2 linked regions of the Danio rerio genome follow. The main gene of each other region encodes a partner of the protein of the gene in region 2 in a complex. Links are inferred from orthologs where the notes say so. Each region holds a gene or a part of one and is shown on either strand. Other genes may lie near its edges.

Region 1 (10,550 bases), on a different chromosome or scaffold from region 2:
GCTGGTGCTTTCACCCTCATGCATAAACAGCACCATTAACCACCTGCCAAAGGGATCGTTCAGCTCACTTGCCAATGTCTGACTGGCACACTGGCATGCTAAAAAGAGAAGCCTGCTTCAGCAGCATGAAAATGAGATCTTTCATAACAAACTACCTTAGGATGCTGAAGCAAACCAAACAGCCTTACAGGTATCAAATGCTTATTTAAAATGAAGTTACTAGAAGTTTTTATCTAAATGAAAAATGATGGGATGTGGTGACGTTTATAGCTGAAATTATAGAATATATGATGGGTAAAGATTCTCATGCTCCTGAATTTGGTTTAATATATACACAGTGATTAGGGCTGCACAATATTTCGCTTGAGCATTGACATTGCAATGTGTGTCTCCTCAATAGTCACATAGCAGTATTAGATAATTTATTAAAAATCAAATGATAATAGCATTATAAAATATTATTATTTTGAAATTATTTATACAATGATGACCATATTATTTTACAATTGATTGTTTAATTTCTGTACTCAAATACTGTTAGACTACCGTTAGAAACTATAAAGCACTGTTTATTTAATTTAACTTTTATCTTTAATCTGTTGTATTTACATACAGTATGCTTGTAATTTATTATAATTTATGCAAACACACTGCATAGAAAAGATTTGATCATCCCAATCTAAGTGAATGAAACCTTTTCAAATGGCTGTTTAAACAATCTGGTGAAATTATATTCATATCACAAGAAATTAAACAGAAATTATCGCAATGTCAGATTTTCCCAATATTGTGCAGCCCTTAACAGCGATATTATTATTTTTTTTATATTTTAAATGACTTCCTAATTAATTATATTTTAAAGTAAAAGCAATATTTAATGTACAGCATTGATATTTCTTAACATTAGCTGATCACGAAAGTTCATGAAATGTTTTTTGGCACTTAAAAAAAGACATTGTCTTTTACAGACATACCTGGATAATAAATGTTATAGGAAACATTTAGTACAACACAAAAAAAACAACAAAAAAACCCATTCGGCCATGAATTTCCATTTCTTTTAACAATTATTTTCAGGATAAACTGGGAATTGCACTCAGGTCATTGTGAGCACCATGGTGCTATATGTCAGCGCACTAAACCATTGGGTTATTGGCTCCAATAATTTCAATTACTTTTTTTAGTCGTTTGTGTGATTATTTTTAATACTGGGTATATGCAGAAATCCAAAAGGTAATTTCAATAAATAAATTAAGTTAAATAAATCAATGAAGCACAACCATGCAACAGAACTCAGATAAGTTTGGAAGAAACAAAGCTTGAAAGAATAAATTATGCTGTTGTTTTCAGCGACATGTTTCAGCCACTGTTTTAGCTCATCTTTCTCCAACCAGGGGTAAGCAAACTTACATTTTCCCATTTTGCTGTCTGTTTCGCTCTATGGTTTCGCTACATGTGGAGAGCATCACATGACCTTTCCGCATTTGTCGCAAAATACGTGACAAAACCCGGACGGAGGAGCTTGGTCGGACGCGCCCAGGCCAGAACTAATTATGTGGATCGAGCACACCATTGTTAATATTAGGAGAAAAATAAATATATTTATGCTTTTATTGGAGTCAAACACTTTGGACAACGCTTGAACAAAATTTAAGATCTCGTAAAATGTGATTAAGACTTTTAAATACCTTTAAAAGGACTTAATTTTCTCAGCATTGATTTATCAACTTTTAACTTTAAGACCCCGCAGACTCCCCATTAATAATTTTAGAAACAAATTAGCTGTTGACAACAAATGAATATTGCATTTCTGAATGTATTTTGCTTGTTTATTTTTATTTATTGTATTTGTGTGGTTGTGTGTAAGCCTCTGTGTGAAGACAATTATGTTAGTTAGACAAAGGTTTTTAGAATTAAATTGAAATATTTTACATATAAAAAACTGAATATTAACTAAAAGAGCTTATTCCACTTATAAGGCTGCACATTGTATAATTTCAGCATCGATATCGCAATGTGCGCAATTACAATGGTCATATCACAAAGATATGCGACTCCAGTCTGAATAATAGTTGACCAGGAGCCTCATCATTGTATTTTATTACTGTATGTATATGGAATTTATGATTTATGCAAAAACATCTCTTACTTAAAATTTGTCTTGTTTCTAGTCCAAATATCTACATGTCAAAGTGAAAACAAGATTTTTTCCGCTAGCCCACTGGCAGATCATTTCTGTAAAACTAGCAAAAAAAAACCAAAACTCTTAATTTTCACTTATTTCTTCTGATGGTAAAATTAAAACAATATTTTACTTGATCTAAGATTTATTTTCTTGATATTTGGATTGGAAACAAGACAAAAAATAAGAAAAGCATATTTATTTGCATTGTAAATATTTAATTTCCGTGCCTGAATACTGTTAAGACTCCCCAGAAAACCGTCAAATAGAGCTATTCTTGTGAAACTGTGTTCATATTGCAATATTTATCACAGAAAAACTAAATATCGCAATATCAAAGTTACCATTTCGTGCAGCCTTACTCCCTTCTATGACTAAAATGTTTATTCATTACCATTCTCCATGACATTAAATTTGAACACTTACAGTAAACGTTCTGAATATACAGAATGGAAACTATGTGAACATTCCAAAACTTCCAACAATAAAGTATTTTGTGATAATAAAAGAGAGGTAATAGTGTCTTGTTTTAGCCCAAAACAAGCAAGTTAAGCTGTGATATTCATCTGACACATTACATCCTTCCATTTTGTTGCATACCAAACAGACAACGCTGCAAAATAAACCTTATTATGGTGAAACAATTGCCTAAATCTTTACTTTGCTGTTGGACCAGATTCGAACACACACTGCCCTGCATACTAACTAGACTGTGTTTATTATGAAGTCATAGCAACTACCTAATGTTTGCTAAACTAATTAGCAAGCGGCTGATATTTGGCAATCAGTTTAAGCTTTTAAATCAGTGCTGCTGCCAAAAACAATGTATTGTAACATTAGAACTAAATGACAAACTTAAACTATTATTGAATTTCTACTAAAACAAATGAAGTTCAATAAGTAACTTAATGGTGAATATATTGAAATATCTTATTTTAAATCGACTAACTGCAGTCAACAGTTACCAAATGCCCTGATATCTCAGGTATGTATTACGCACCAGTATGTCCACCTCAGGCCTGGTGGACGTTTTCCATGTTACAAGTTTTAGACACAAATGTTTAGAAATGAAAAGCCAAAAGAGAAACAAAAAGATACAAGACAAATGTCCAGAGACGAAAACAGACCTTGAAGAGTCTAGGGAAGACATCTGTTGGCTGTCCGCGCACCACAAAAAGTCTCGAATTCAGTTTTCTCAAACTTGTGTCCAAATCCTCCAAAGATTCCAGTAAAAATCTGTGGAGAGAAATGGAAAAATATGATTTGAGCCAAACCTTTTGTTTCAAGATACCTTGACATTACAGTCTTTTTCAGTCCGAGAAAACAAGAATGATTTCTCACTAATGCTGTTCATTTTATTTTTCAGGCATAATCAGAAAATTATATATATATTTTAATGAACAAATAGTTGTACTTTAGGGCCTCATCATCAACAAATGGCTCGTTTTTAAAAATATATAATCAAGTTCTCCTAACATATTACTTAAAAAGCTTTAATTTGATTACATTTTTAAAAAATTGCTTTGATTAGTAACTGATGTTTTTGGACCAATATTTTTAGGGTGAATGAATAGTTTGCACTCATTTAAGCCATTAGTAAAACACAATGGTCAATTAAGATTATTATTTAACATAGCTGGTTAGAAATAATATAAAAAATAATACTTATCACCTATCAAAGCGTAAAAGAGAAACAAATTAAGGCCTAGATACTTTAGGGAACCTATTTGTCGTCTTGTTTTCTTACTTCAAAAGACCTCAATGTTTTTAAAGGAGTATAACAAGTATTACTTTAAGTTTGCCTGTATGTATTTTGACTATCAAAGTGGCAGAATCCACTGACTTGCATTTTACAAATCACGAAGGACCACAGCTTAAGCTAAACAAATCTTTACAATTTTACTTCAGAAAGTCACCTACATCTTTGATTGCCTTGTGGATGAGTAAACATACAGCAAATGTTATTTGCGGGTGAACTCGTTCTTCGAGGACAGCAGAAAGTCACAAATCTTATTCAATGGCTTTAAAAGACGAGACATTGGAATGAATCATAAACTTACGAAAGCTAACAAACATATTTTAACTAAACTAGATATTGAGTAACGTTATTGTCTTATTAATCATGCACAATGTTTATAATAATTATAATAATAATTATTATTATTACAACATAAGAAAAATGGGCACATAAACAAAATAATCAAAATATTTGACAACGTTTTGACAGATTTCACAATACATTATGTCTGGTTTGTTCATTCAAACACCGCATCCCTCCCTCGGCATGTCTGCTAAGACACAACACGTGAAAATACAATCGCTCCGTCACGTGACTCGAGCTTTTGCATACGAAAACAACATTTTACACACACTTTACATCAGTTTCAGTCTATAAAGATTTAGAGTTCATCGAGAAAACACTCAATGACGCAGTAACGAAATTGGTAATTTTAGCCGTTATATAAAACCGAAGTGGGCGTGAGCAAAACGACTAGCCTGTTATCATTAGCCTCCATTTGCTCTCATGGCACCGCCACGGAATTACACAATTCACGCAAATAAACATTAGTTTATCAATCGGTGTTTAAAAAAGGAAATAACATTTTAAATAGTTCAATCATTGGTGTTTAAGTTGAGTAACAAAGTTTGTTAAACTAACTTAGTCAAAACATCAACCAGGGCCGCACGCAAGCGTGTTAAGTTTTTTTATGTATATATAATAAATACGTCATTTACCACTTAAATCCGACATTCACACGAACATATTACGGTAAAATTACATTTCAGACTTACATATCAGACATAAGGCCAAAACAGCAGCGTTTGTGCAAAAGAGCTGCGCAGTTAACCGCTAACGTTACCATTTCCAATAATCACTAAAACACCAAAACAACATATCCTAATTTTCAACATAACCACAACACGCCAAAAAATAAGTGAAACCCACCTCCATCGGTTGACTCCCACGTTAGCCGAGCCTGCAAACCACGGGTCCAAAATATAAACACACCGTACAGTATCCGCGCCATTTAGAGCTTCCTGCAAAGCCGGATTATCATGAAGCCGCAGCCCTTTGCGAAACCAATGCACCGAATTCACCACCATAATAGCGCTTTATTCCATCGTAAAAGTTCCAAGGAAATCCAGAAGAGTAAACAATTCGCGATTTCAGCCGTCCTGCACGCACATTGTGGTTCAGTGTAGAGTTTGAGATGGGGAGCAGACACAGCAGACGCAATGGTTTTTTTCCGCCTCTCCCCGCGTTCATTGGCCAGCGGGCGGACACGTGTACGGATTACCGGAATGAGTGACTCGGGCCTCCGAGCTGTGATTGGCTCGGGCTCACGATGCAGGTCCAGCCCCGTCACGTTTCTTTGGTGTGTTGTTCGCCATGTTCATCGTCAAATTATGACATCAATTCGTGCAACTTGGTAACAACACTCAAGTCACGCGCAGAGTCAAGTGCTCTTTGCAAAATACCGTCTGCAGCGAGCAACGCCACACCACAGCTGGAGAATGAGGAATGTATTTCTCCCATACTGATGTGTGTGTGTATGCACACTTGCAGATGCCAAACATGTTTTATAAGAGGATCCTGAGCAAACGCAGTTGTAGTTGAGTGGTGTTTTTGCGCCTCCTCGCGGTTGTTCTTCACATTAACGAGATCAGATAAATAAAGGGTTCAGATTATGGTCAATGAACTTTTAAGGTTACTGTGGCTGAAATAGAGGTCAGGTTTGGCTCACATGCCCATGGGTCAGTGTTTCAACCTGTCTGACTAGCCTCTTTAAAAAAGTAATATGAACGAAACAAAGAATCTTTACAGTAAAATAATAAAAATAATATTTATGTATAACTGTTACAGTAGTACATTACTATACTATCTATCTGTCTGTCTGCCTGCCTGTCTGTAAATCAATCTATAATATAGTATTATATTATATAATGAGCAAATGTGTGGTAGAAAAAATTTAATTCTTGCAAATAATAACAATATAGATGTACACGAACATTGTAACAAAGAAATATATATTTTCAAATAATTTCTCATATAAAATAATAAAATGTATTGGTGAAAAAAGTTAATTCTCACAAATACTATTAATACTAGGGTTAATACTAGGGTTTCACTGTGGCACAGTCGCCTTGCGGCAAGAAGGTTGCTGGTTCGAGCCTCGGCTGGGTCATTTCTGTATGGAGTTTGCATGTTCTCTCTGTGTTTGCGTGGGTTTCCTCCAGGTGCTCCGGTTTCCCCCACAGGTTCAAAGACATGGCTATAGGTGAATTGGGTGAGCTAAATTGTCTGTAGTGTGTGTGTAAATGAGAGTGTAAGGGTGTTTCCCAGTGATGGGTCGCAGCTGGAAGGGCATCTGCTGCGTAAAACATATGATGGATAAGTTGGTGGTTCATTCGGCTGTGGCGACCCCTGATTAAAAATGGGACTAAGCCGAAACGTAAATGAATGAATGCATCTTTTAATACTATAATATAAATAATTGTGCATCAAAAGTGCAATAATGTAATCAATACTATAATAATACATTATTTATGTTACCTAGTTTGTGCAGCTCCACTCTAGCAACATGCATGTCTTATCTTTTATTTTTTATAAAAATAATAATTAGTTAATGCACAATGTTTTCTCTCTTACGACAACTCCGTCAATTAATGAGTAACTTTAACCAAGATGAAACGTGAGCTTAAACAAGTGAACTTTTATGCTGTAGTTGTGAATCCGTTCATGCACTGGCCTCTAGAGAGACTGATTTTTAAACTACAATTTACTCTATTTTCAGAGCTTCTTAATTTACCTCATCTGTATGAACTCCTTGTGCATAACATAATGATGAAGCAATACATCCTAGAGCAATTTTAATTCATTCATTCATTCATTTTCTTGTCGGCTTAGTCCCTTTATTAATGCGGGGTTGCCACAGCGGAATGAACCGCCAACTTATCCAAGAAAGTTTTTAGGCAGCAGATGCCCTTCCAGCCGCAACCCATCTCTGGAAACATCCACACACACACTCATACACTACGGACAAATTAACCTAATCAATTCATCTGTATCGCATGTCTTTGGACTGTGGGGGGAAACCGGAGCACCCGGAAGAAACCCACACAAACTCAGGGAGAACATGCAAACTCCACACAGAAACGCCAACTGAGCCGAGCAATTTTAATTACGAAACCAAATTATTATTGAACCATATTCATTTACATATTTCAGCTCTTCACTGACCATCCTCTTTTGTCTACTGATTTCTAGAACAGAAAGTAGACTTGTGCCTCTAGATCAGGGGTGCCCAAACTTTTTCTTATGAGAAAAGTCGGCTGTGGGCAGAAGGTAAATCAAACTGTATTGAGTAATTTCCTAATTTCTTTCCTAATATTTAAAGATAAGTTATATTAACTAATGCAGTCTATAAAAATGTCTGAATCTGAAATGAATTCATTACAGTGAAAGCATCAACAATCCCATTAATAACACCATTGAGTTCAATGCTGGATACACTAAACTGCACATGCCATTGTCCTCTATTTGTCGAGTGACAGCATTTACATTTTTAAAAATTTGATTCATTTACAAAACAAAGGAAAGGACAAAACAAACAAAAACAAAAGGTTACATTGAATTGAAATGAATGACCTCTGTCCTGTTTTTGCCTCATCATTCTCACTATCTTCTCAAATGGGATGGTGGGCCAAATCAAAGGTTAGCATTGGCCAACTTTGGCCCGCGGACCCTACTTTGGGCATCTCTGCTCTAGATAGCACTAAAAATGCACAATTCTTGACTTCTAAAATCTAAATCATTTCAGCATATGGAAGAAAAATATAAAAGAAGAGAGGATAAAAGAATAACAGTACTTGTAATCTGTAGAAATAGATTTAAAGAGTTCATTCTTGTAAATTATCTATCATCCCACACTGTAAAACATTTCACATTGGTTAAACTTACAAACTCAAAAAGCTCACCAGCTGCCTTGAAAATGTGTCTACTCAACTTAGAGAGACTCTTTGTTTCAATTTAAGATGTTGAGTTTCACAATAGGTGAATTACCAGTTTGTAAACATTCAGGATGCGTGCACATCGAGGTGGCAGAAAAAAAAACGCGAGTGCTAGCATTTACAGCGAGGGAATGACATCCAATGCGGAACAGATTTTGTTGTTGTATTAGAGATAAGTTATATTGAATACATATTATATATATATATTATTTCCATAATGCTTTCAGCGTATAATAGCAGCTAGGCACCCAGTGATAAGCACAGTTATTCTGCAAAATTAACGTTAAAGTGATCGGCATTCGTCTGACAGGTCCATTTGCGATAGCACCCTCCTAATGGATATTAGATAAGACGAAATGGCCAAGCATCCAGGCCGAAATATACGACAATCTCATTAAAACTCCAAGTGATTTACAAGAGAGAAGAAAGGCCTACAAGTCTGTATGCCAACAATTTTGTTCTGTGTGATCATGTGCAAGAAATAATGTTCCATGACATGTTGTGCTAAAAACGAGGTTCTGCTGAGCCTAAGACAAGGAAAGTAGATGGAACTGTACAAGGCCTGGGTAATCATCAACAAGCAAAAAGACTGCATTTTGACAGCGAACTGCACCTGTTCAGCAGGGTATGTGAACTTACATTTTAACATTTCATTCTAAGCATTCAGTGTCAACAGTTGAATTAACCATATTTAACTGTTTTTGCTGAAATCATTGCTGCAATCCAAAACGAGTAATGAGTATGATTCAGTTTAGCGTGAACTTACTTTATATAAACTGAGAACTGAAGAGTCCAGCATTTTTAATTAGGTCGTCACTCCATTCAGCTCTTATGATAGCTGTTAAATTTAAAATTTATGTTTTTTATTTTTGGACTTTCGATTATGACATCCTACCAGACAACGCGACATGTTTGCTATTGCAATTGGTCTTTTTTTTGCAACCGGTATGTGTGGTTGAACCCGTGCGACGTCATGTGTGACGTAGGTTGGTAATTCCCCTATATGTTTAACTAAAACTCAACATCTTAAGTTGAAACAAAGAATCTAAGTTGAGTTGCTGCTGACTAACATTTTCAAGGCAGCTGGTAAACTTGAGTTTGTGAGTTTAAACAAACTAGAGCGTTTTACAGAGAGCTCCTATTAGACTTGGAGGATAGTTCACCCAAAAATAAAAATTCTGTTATCATTTATTCACTATTGGCCTGTAAAAACCTTTAAGCTTTGACTTCCATAGTATTTGTTTTTCATGTGCATAATGGTTGCCGTTTTTTTTATATTTTCTTTTGTGTTCAGCAGAACAATTTAATGCGACATATGTAAAAAGAAATTGTTAACAGTTTCTTCCTAGCCTGTTTAGCAGAGCCCAACATGGAATGAACAACCCATACGCCTTGAAAATGTATTAAAAGAATGCATATTATGCAGACACAAAATATTTAATGATATTAGATAAGATAAGTTCATTTCCAGGTTAGACTTTCAACTTAAAGTTTACAACATGTTTGAAAAAGTCACAAGAAATACAGTTCTAATGCATGTTTTTGCTGCATTCACACAGTTTTGACCAACAGGTGTCCCTAGCACGTGCTGATGCAAATTATTCGAAACAGTGAATCTTGCAAAGCAATTGCTTGTGTTGTTTCGAAACTTGGATCTTAGGCTTGTTTCTCCTATTTCTAGTTTAAATATGTAAAAAAAAACAAAAAAAAACATGTACTTCTACTAATAGTTGTAGGAGCTGTGAAAAGTTCCTCAGGTGCAAAAGTCCCTATTGTATTTGTGCCTGGTCAGATCCTGTTACTGATTTCCAATGCTTGGCTGTCGGGATGACAAGAGCCAATATGTGTGTGAGCACATGAGTGTGTGAGAGAGACACAGTGATAGAGGAAATTGCTCTTTTGGTGACCAATTGAGAGCCATCTGTCTAATGGAAATTTGAACGAGGAGCAGGTGAAGGCTAGAGTCTCGGGGGCGCAGGGATAGCAACTGACCCACATCGAAACAAGACATGTTTAATGGCGTCCGTCTGCTTTTTTAAGGTTGAAAATTGCAGCACAGAATCCTTGACAGAGTCACTGAACTGACGTCTTGCATCCCTGTGAGGTTAAGCCATAGGTGGTGCTCCTGGACCACTAAAGTGGACATCAGCTGACCCAGAGACTGCGCTGAGAGACTTCTGTGGCCAGGAAGGTTTTTATTTTAACTAAGGATGAGGCACTTACTCACCCTTAGTCGATTCCTCCAGGTAAATGCTTTTTGTGAGCACAAACACACCATAATGTCTTTCTCCATCTGGAGAGTATGGAGCTAGCTGCTATCTCTTCAAGGTTGAGCCTGATAGCTAATCTGAAAACT
Region 2 (9,786 bases):
AAACTTTAAATATATATAGACACACACACACACACAAAACATAGCCATATCCAGGGTAAAGTGGATTAAAAAATAGTTCACTATAAAACAAAAATTTTGTCATAATTTACTCAGCAATTCTTCTCTTGTGTTCAACAGAATAAAGAAACTCAAAGGTTTAAAACCCCTCGAGGGCGGGTAAACTGATAATAAATGGTTCTTTCTGGGTGATCCATCTCTTTAAACCTGAGCAGGTCTCAATGCTGCGTCATTTTCCATGGCTTTAGGCTAGACATCCAGAAGTGTAATTCCAGCTCCTGCTAAATCTAATGTTCTCTGCTGAATCATTGTTCCTCCTGGCACACTTCATTCAGTCGCTTAGCATAACACGGTCGATAAGTGCATTACATTAGTCTGCAAGCGGAGACAGTCTCCAGCAGTTTCCGTTGTGACGTGACTGTGTGTGTGTGTGTGTGTGTGTTTGTACCGGATGACGCTGTCCAGGCAGCTGATCTGCTGATAGGAGTAGACGGTCTGGTCTTTGAAGGCCAGCTCCTCCTGCACCGCCGCTCGCTGCTCCTCCTGAGACTCTCTCCAGTTCACTGGATATGCAGAGTCTTTCGGTCGAACCACTGGACTTTTCTGAACAAACTCTGCAGGGGAGGAAGAAACAGGCTTGAGAAGGCTACACAATTACTCAAAATAAATTCTAAACTTCTGTAAAAACTGCGTTCTGTATTTTGTGATTCAAAGGACTTTTTTGTGTTTATTTACAGTTATGAATTGCATAATTTGACTTCACTTGTGATCTGTAGAGTTCTGTTGATGAAATTTCAACTCTTCAGTACAACCAAGTGCCTTTTAATGACAGTTTAGTGGTTTGAAACAATATATTGCATGAGAAAAAATAATATAGAAAGAATCAAGTCTGTTAAATAACAGAAAATGTGCTAACTTACTGGAAGTTTTTTTACAGGATGTCCCATAAAGAAGAATTTAATAAAATATTAAAAAAATAAAAATAAAATGAAAAAATGACGGTAAATGTTTTTGTTATTTTTGAACAAATTATTGAAATCTTACAGAATAAAACTATTCATTTATTACCATATATAACTAAAATCATGATGAAAATGACCTCTTAAAGGGATAATGCACCCAAAAATGAATATTCTGTTACATTTGCTCACCCTTTACATGTTTCAAACCTTCATGAGTTTCTTTCTTCTGATGAACACAAGAGAAGATATTTTGAAGAATGTTGGAAACCTGTAACTATCTGCTTTTCCTACTATGGATACCAATTTTAGCTTTCTTCAAAACAGCTTCTTTAGAGTTCAACAGAAGAAAGAAACAATAAACTCTGTAACCACTTGAGGACCAATAAATAGTGAGTAAATTTAATTTTGGGTGAACTATCCCTTTAATGTCCCTCGAACAGTAATGCATACAAACTAATTATACATTGAATCTTTTATTCTGTTCAGTTCGACTCTGTTCTGTTCCATTCTATTCCATTCCATTCTATTCTATTGTGATCTATTCAGTACCACTCCCATCTGTTCTATTCTATCCTATTCCATTCTATACTATTCTATTTTACTCTAGTCTGTTGTGTTCTATTCAGTTCAATTCTTATCTATTCCATTCTACTCTGTTCTATTCCATTCTAACTTATTCTTTTCTATTCCATTTTATTGTATTCCATTCTTTTCCATTATACTCTGTCATTGTATTGTAATGTATTGTATCGTATTCTATTCTATTATATTCTATTCTATTCTTTTCTTTTCTATTCTCCTTTGTTCCTCTATCCCATCTGCTGAGGTTTCAATATCACAGTTGAATTTACAATCCAATTTTTGTTCATGTAAACTAATAGTGATTATTTGATACCAAATCTTGGAAATATTTGAGCACAGATTGCATAAAAAAAACCACAGACTTTGATGACAGACGAGGTGCACAGATGGTAGCGGATATGGGTACATACTAGTAGGGCTTTTCTTGGACTGCAGCTCCTGGTTTTTCTGCATGTGAACGCCTTTGCAGATCTCCTGAAAGCTCCTCTGAGAAATCACACACACAAAAAGACTAATCAATCCACCAGACTTGCTTTAAAAAAGATAAGTATTAAGACTTGAGTAGCTAAATATAACAAAAATGATGTATCATATTGATATGAGTAGTGGAAACCCCATGAAAGACTTGTGGTATTTAAAAAACAAACATTAATTTCGGACAACGGCTGCACTTGATGGGCTAAATGTGAAATCCAGGGGCGCTTAGACTACTTGTTGTATAAAAATAAATGTATTTAACTGTCCGCTTACACTGAATCAATGACCACTTATCAGCATATCAACTCTTTCAGTAACTGTAGTTATCTAAAAGCCTTTAAAAGAAAAGACTTCACAAAAATCTCCTACCAAAATGAAGCCATTTGTCACTTTTATTTAAACAAAGTGTTACTGTGTGCTTAATCTAAGTTCTTGCAATGCTACATTTAAAATCAGATCTTAAACATGGCAATTTTATAATAGTGCAGCAGTTCACTGGAAGCGCTTGGGCTGGCTGGCTGAAATCTAAAAGTCTGTGTGCGTATACAACATCGTTTTTGCTAATTTAAGTGGATTAAACATAAAATCAATTAAAATGTCCCCAAAGAAACTTAATAATTGTGTTGATTTAGCTCATTTTAAATAAATAGTTTGAACAAACAGCAAAAAACATTCTTTCTAGTGTAGTTTGACAGGAGCTTTAACTACTTTTCCTACAGAGTAGCTTGTAACACAATGTATTATGATGGAAAGTTCTCAAGGCATGAATAAAAGTGACACATTTGACTTGTAAAAAATGGCTAGAATTGATGATGTGACTCACCGGTTTGGCTTTCCTGATGTCCTCTTCTTCATGTCTCTGTCGTGTCCCGTTACCATTGCTTTCACTGGATGACGCCACACTCAGCAGGTGATCATTACTGCCCAGACTGCCATAGCCACTTGAACCATTATTGTGCACCGGCTGCAAATCACACACGTATTTTTTAACCAATGCTTTTGATGTCTCTCATGGTCAGTCTATATTTAGAAGCATTAATGTGGATCTTTCTACTGTGAATGAGTTTGGGCACCTGCAGCAGGAGTCTGTGAATCTGCTCGGTGATGTCCTGGATGTCAGAATCCACGCATTTGCCTTCAGCAGTAGCCGGAGCTGCAAACACGTCTTCATTCACCGGACCCCTGGAAGAATGGACAAAATTTCAAAAAGGTGCACATTTAAAAAAAAAAAAAAAATCTAATATAAATGTAAGCAACACCAAAAGTTTGAAAATGTATTCATAAAAAATGAATTTAAAAATAAAAATGTCAAAATGAGTTAACAGTCATTAAAAAGTTAAGATAGCTGTGACTTTTTTGTAGCATAAAATGTGTCAAATCAGTGCAAAGTTAAAGTTCTTGCTAACGAATGCATGAGGCGTCCAAATTAATCAGACATTTGCAGACGACTTATCCCCAATACCACGACAAGGACTTTTTGAGCGCAAGGCAAAAGAATTGACATCCACCCAAAATGAGATGAGGGACATCATAGCTACTGAAAAGAAAATTTGTCAACTGATTTGCAACTAATATATGGCCAATTTAAAGGCCAAAGGATCATGTTTTTTTTATTTACAGATGGCTTACGGATGTTTTGCTTTTATATTTTACATTTTACACAGACTATTTGTGCATGAACATTTCTAGATATAATAATAAACTTACCGTTTGTTTGAAATTTTTTTTTTTTGTCATTCTTACTGCAAAGTATTATGAGCAATATTATCAATAAATGTTGAGGGGGGGCTTACAATATTTTCCAGCGGAAAAGGGGGTCTTGGGAACCATTGTTTTTAAGGTTTAGTGTTGGTGTGATTTTTTTATATGTAAAAAAAAATGCACAACTAAAAAAAAACAAGCAACGTAAATGTATACAACACCAAAGCTCCAAAAGTATGAACATTAAAAGCTATAACATAGTGTCAAAATGACCATAATGCAATAATGTGTGCTTGTTGAAGCTGCTTTTGGAACAGTAACCATAGTGAAAAGCGCTACACAGCTGAATGTAACTTACATGCGAACTTTATGTCTGCCGATGACGAAGGAAACTTTGCGGCTCCAGGGATTGACGAAGCTGGACCAGCTGGTGTCGATGGTGATGTACTCTCCGTTACGAGCACAAAAGCGGATCGAATGGTCAAAAGGCTGACCGGCGCACTGCAGGACTGAGGAGACACAAACATTTCATTCTCAAACAGGATACTTAAACTCCTTTCACTATAAACTAAAAGATTCACCATTACTTTAATATAGCCTTTTGAGAGAGAGTTTCGAATGTATTGTCATATCAGCATCTCTGGATATTTCATGCAAAACCAGATCAGATTTACATTATCACACATATAAATGTCTCTTTTCTATAGTAATGATATCAACAGCAATAAATAACACACAAAATAAAAATCTAAAACACTTCTTTAAGGTTTACTTTTGATAAAAATTGTACCATTTTAGAAGGATTCACATTGAAAAATATTTCCTTTAAAGTCTCTCTAGATAAAAATCATTATAATATATATTATATACATTAATAATATTCTATACCATGTTAATGCTATCTCAGATAACATTAAAAATTCCAAAAGTATATGTTTAGTATACCCCTACAGATCTCTCTTTTAAATGAATATTTTCTACAGGATGCTATAAAGTAAGATGTTTGTGTATACATTAGATTAGCTGCAGTTTTGGATTTGGTATTGATTTTCATGCAGTGCTGAAAAGGTTCTTAAGTTAGAAGCATTAAAAATGTAATTATAAAAAATAAACAAATAAACACATTTAAATAAAAAAATTAAACGATTTAAACTGAAACATAATTATAAAAATGATAAAAAAATAAACAAATTAAACAATTTAAACAAATCTAATTATTTAAAATATTTTTAAAAAACGATAAAAAAATTATTATTTAAATTTAGTAGCATTGAATTAAAGAAGCATAAAAATGTAATTATAAAAAAATAATAAAAATATTTTATTATTAATTTAATTTAGTAGCATTTAATTAGAGACAAATTTAATTAAATACAAATTTAATTATTAAAAATGATAAAAATAAAAGTTATACAAATTAATTATTTTATATAGTAGCAATTAATTTGAGAGTAGCTTCAAAACTGTTATTACGAATTAATTTAAAGATATATTTTATTATTATTTATATTTAGTAGCATTTAATTAGAAAAGCATAAAAATGTAATAATTAAACATAAAAAAATAAACAAATAAATTATTATTTTCATTTAGTAGCATTTAAAGAAGCATTTAGAGATGCATCAAACATGTTATTAGTAAAAATGCTAAGAAATATATATAAATTCGTTATTATTTTAATTTAGTAGCATTTCAATAGAGGAGCATAAAAAGTTTAATAATTAAAAAAAATTTATTATAAATTACTTCAAAGTCTATCTGTTATTGCAAAATCTCTCAATCATTCCTATTTGACAACTTTTAACCCATTTTGATGTTGGGATGCAGGTTGAGTATGAAGTATGTAGTACACTTAAGTTTTTCAGTGGTTATTAGTGCAGCTTATGTTTATTAGATTGGTTTTTGTGGAACAGATTTTTAAATGTTTTATTTCATATATTTATTTTTATTTAGCTTTTTTGGGGGTATTTTGTACTGAAATATAGCTGCAATTTCTGCAATAACTCAATCATGGTATTGTTATGCAGGAAATAATTAAACTTTAAACCTTAACTATATTTTATTGTGAAGAAAATCAGTGAAATAAACTCACTCTTCCTGTGGATGCCGAGCATGGTTGGCCGATCATTCGGATGCAGATGGAGAAGGACAGGTGTGCCGATTAAATCCTGTGGTAAATATCCTAGTAACGGAACAGCCCTACAGAGGAAAAAACCCTTCTGATTAGACTGGAATGGGAACAACAACTGTTATTACCTTTAATATGCATCAATATGAGAAATGGAAAAAAGCAGGTGTGGAGGCAGAGCGATGTGGTGTGAAACACTCATTTAATGTTTAAACAAGCAGCTGATCTTCATTATTAATGTTCATCAACAGAAGCATTAAAATCTTACCGCTCATCCACATCCTGAAACACACAGCTGGGAGTGTGTGTGGTGGTGAAGATTCGCTTGTCTGTGGGGATTCTGGGAGCTGAGGAATTAACAGAAAAAGATTTTAATATTACAACATTTTAGTATTTGAAACTGCTTAAAAATAATCATTTGTCAGTTTCTTTATTTGCCATCATGTTTGTTAACAAAAATAGCAGGCATGATTGCGTCTATTTGCACAGTGTTTGATTATATATATCAGATGTTTTGGGTCTGTAGCATTTATGATTGCTTGCTTTTTTTTTTTAAAATAACACTTTTATTCATCAATGATGTATTCACTTATTTTTTTTAAAACGAGTGCATGAAGATTCATCAAGATATATACGATTTCTAGTTCAAACAAATGCTGTTTTTTTCAATCTAACAGTTAGGCCCAATCCCAATTCTACCCTTTAGCCCTTCCCCTCAATTTGCGCGTGCCCGTGAAGGGGTAGTGGTGTCCCAATTCTCTTTAGTTTGAAGGCGTAGGGCTAAGGGCAAGAGGTATACACCCCTTCAAACGAAGATCTTTCAGGACCACACTCGAAACCAAGGGGTAGGGAAAATTTCCCAGAATACACTAGCTCCAGCTGCACCCAGAAGTAAGGAGATTATTTTTGTCATTATTACGATTTTTTTACAACAAACAAACACGTTTTAATATATTCATAACCGCTTTTGTGTTTTACCGTCATGCTTTTAAAAAATTTAGCTAAAATAAAAACAGCTAAATTTCGCAATCTATTCCCGTTCTAAAACCCCCGATAATAACTTCTGTACAGAAGTCCCACAACATTCTGACACTCGATGACACTGGAATACCCTGTCAGAAAAGTCTAGTGGCTGGGACTGGACATTTTACAGTGTCTGTTATAATGTTCATGCTGTTTCTGGTGTGTTTACATTAATAAATATGGCCACTGTAAATGCACAGTACAGTTACGATCTTATTGCCACATTAGATTGTTATGATAACATAATACATGCCTTCAGTAATTTCCTGAAGATAAATACCCCAAAATAACACAACTGGAATCACTACAGTAGTCGCCATCATCTGAACTCATATGAAGCAAGAGATCGCGAGGACATATGATGACGTGTGCAGGTGCTGTAATCCTGTCCCAATTCTTAGGGGTAAATTTTGAAGCCCTTCCCCTTAACCCTCGGTTGCAAGGGCTGAGGGGAAGGGGTAGGGGTAGAAAAATAGAATTGGGACTGGGCCTTAATTTCGGTTTCACAAAAACATAAAACATCACTTGTTTCATATTGATAATAATTAATAACAATGAATGTTTTTAGAGCGGCAAGTTGACGTTTATTTTACAGTATTACTTTGCTTACTGTATATTATATTACCCATAGTTTTCTATAACTGCACTTTATAACTTATATCTATATCCTGCACTTGCTGCTATTGCACTCCTTGTTAGACCTAAACTGAATTTCGTTGCTTTGTTTTTGAACATGTGTAATGAAAACAAAGTTGAATCTACTCTAATCTATTTGTGACTGAATTGTCTAAAGCATTTTGTAAATGTTTTGTAGTTTGCATTTTTTTGACAGCACCAATCATAACATGTACAATAAATACAACTGAGAAACAAAACAAAAAAATGAAAACATTTGGTCACACTGGACTTTGAGGGTGCATTTGTTGAATTTAAGGCCCCGTTTACACTAGTGCGTTTAGTTTTAAAACTGCGTTTTAGTTCAAAAACGATCCGCGTCCACACTAGTGTTTCACCTAGCGTTTCTGAACATATCTGCATCCACACTACGCCACCAAAAACGTATATCACGTGACCATTCGCTCACTCTGGGCATGCACATTCTAGTATAAACAGGAAGCATGTGTCTCGTTCTGCATTTGGTTATTGTAAGTCAACAAACTCCGGTTGAATAATGAACGCGATGGCAAAGAAAGCAAGAGAGGTATTTCTGTGGACAGACGACGAGGTTGAGTTGTTACTGAAAGTAACAATTGAATAACTGCACAATGGCGCCTAAAACTGACAATAGTGCAAACAACGCTCCCATTTCTGTGTCCATGTTGTTGTTTACAGTAAAGGCTGTTTTGCTGTCTTCCGGTAGCGTTAAAGCCATGTGTTATAGTCATGTGATAGGGGCTTGACGAATAAGGGAAGGATACGCAATGACACAAAGCCCCAATCAGGTAGCGAATCTCAGCAGCCCCGCCTCCGTTTTCAGATGTCTCCGTTTTCCCCCATCCACACTGAGACAGAGCAGCAGCGTTTCACAATGAAAACGGCCTCTCCAGCGTTTCCAAAACGCTCCGTTTTCGGCGCTCGAAAACTGCGGTGTAGTGTGAATGGATGGCGTAACCGTAGCAAAACTTATGCATTTTCAAACTAAAACGCATTAATGTAAACGGGGTTAAGTTACATTGCATCTACATGCCAACTAATTCTCATAAGATTATAAGTAGACTGTTAGGTTGGGGCAGGGGTGTCCAATCTCGGTCCTAGAGGGCCGATGTCCAGCATATGTTAGTTCCAACCCAAATTAAACACACCTGAACCAGCTAATCAAGCTATCAAGAAACTTCCAGGGAGTTGTGTTAAAGGAAGTTGGAGCTAAACTATGCAGGACACCGGCACTCCGGGATCGAGTTTAGACACCCCTGGGTTAGGGTTAGTGTAAGTTGACATGTACTTGCAAAGTTTCTTATAGTCAGTTAAATGTCTGTTGAGGGAGCAGTATCAACAGATATTAAGCAGACAGTTTAATAATACTCAAAATAAAGTGTTTCCAAACATTTATTTGGCTACAACAAAAAAATATCATGTTTTTTATATTAGTCTTTAATTATACTTATATAAAAATACATCAGTAAGTAAATCATTTATTTTTTGCATCAAAATTCAAATGATCAAATTGTGAATATTCTTCTCAATGCACTTCAACCACTACTTGTATGAAAAGAAATCTGTTCTCCATGTAGGGTAATGTGTGAAAGAGCTGACCTTCGTAGCCGGAGTGCACTCTCTCGGCCAGCAGGAGGCAGCAGAACTGATCCTCTGAATGCTCCATATCCTGAACCTTCATCAGATACGGAGTCATTCTGAAGGGATAATACTGCAGATCTGCCTCACACTCCTTACCGCCGCTGAAAAACACACACAAATGCAACAACTTAGTGATAAACACTGGCTCAGTCCGAAACATAACTCACAAATGATCGTGATTCATAAAGAAACTCATATTTAGAACAATTTGAAAAAAAAAAAGGTAAAAACTAGGATTAAATGTAGGGATGTTTAGGGGGAAAAGCATAAAAACTATATTTATTTATTTGATAATTATTTATTAAAGAATAATTGAATTAATAAAAGAAGAATCAATTAATATTGCATTAAAATAATGAAACACTTCATACATTAAAAAAATTATTGGTATACTATTAGTATTCAATCATTAATTTTCCTTCGGCTTAGTCTCTATTTTAGAGATAGGCACAGCGGAATGAACCGCCAACTATTCCACCATATGTTTTGCACAGCAGATGCCCTTTCACTTTATTATTTATTATTATTATTTTATTAATAAATATTGAATTAAAATAATTAAAGACACAGTTAGTATAAAAGTTTATATTATCTATATGC

Evidence for each region.
Region 1: the proteins of per2 (region 2) and cry2 are in contact, whole or in part, in a crystal structure (PDB 4U8H), measured with the Mus musculus proteins. The link is inferred for Danio rerio from reciprocal best matches to the Homo sapiens genes PER2 and CRY2. Residues at the interface, in NP_035196.2 of Mus musculus: Tyr1132, Leu1134, Gln1135, Asp1136, Pro1137, Trp1139, Leu1140, Met1142, Ala1143, Asn1144, Thr1145, Ile1149, Met1150, Met1151, Thr1152, Tyr1153, Gln1154, Leu1155, Arg1158, Asp1159, Leu1160, Val1163, Leu1164, Asp1167, Gln1168, Lys1170, Leu1171, Leu1174, Gln1175, Ser1177; in NP_034093.1 of Mus musculus: Trp58, Ser63, Ser64, Val65, Lys163, Leu166, Thr167, Lys169, Arg170, Glu215, Leu216, Gly217, Phe218, Asn330, Pro331, Ile332, Cys333, Ile334, Gln335, Ile336, Pro337, Asp339, Asn341, Pro342, Glu343, Leu345, Ala346, Lys347, Ala349, Glu350.

The regions. Positions count from the first base shown.
Region 1 is NC_133200.1:14,799,025-14,809,574, forward strand, and holds the start of cry2 (cryptochrome-2), read right to left. Parts: upstream 5,392-10,550; 5' UTR 5,288-5,391; coding exon 5,130-5,287; intron 3,419-5,129; coding exon 3,310-3,418; intron 1-3,309. UniProt on the Homo sapiens protein: Transcriptional repressor which forms a core component of the circadian clock.
Region 2 is NC_133177.1:51,605,859-51,615,644, forward strand, and holds part of per2 (period circadian protein homolog 2), read right to left. Parts: intron 9,288-9,786; coding exon 9,145-9,287; intron 6,216-9,144; coding exon 6,137-6,215; intron 5,940-6,136; coding exon 5,833-5,939; intron 4,250-5,832; coding exon 4,099-4,249; intron 3,222-4,098; coding exon 3,113-3,221; intron 3,004-3,112; coding exon 2,863-3,003; intron 2,049-2,862; coding exon 1,973-2,048; intron 633-1,972; coding exon 467-632; intron 1-466. UniProt on the Homo sapiens protein: Transcriptional repressor which forms a core component of the circadian clock.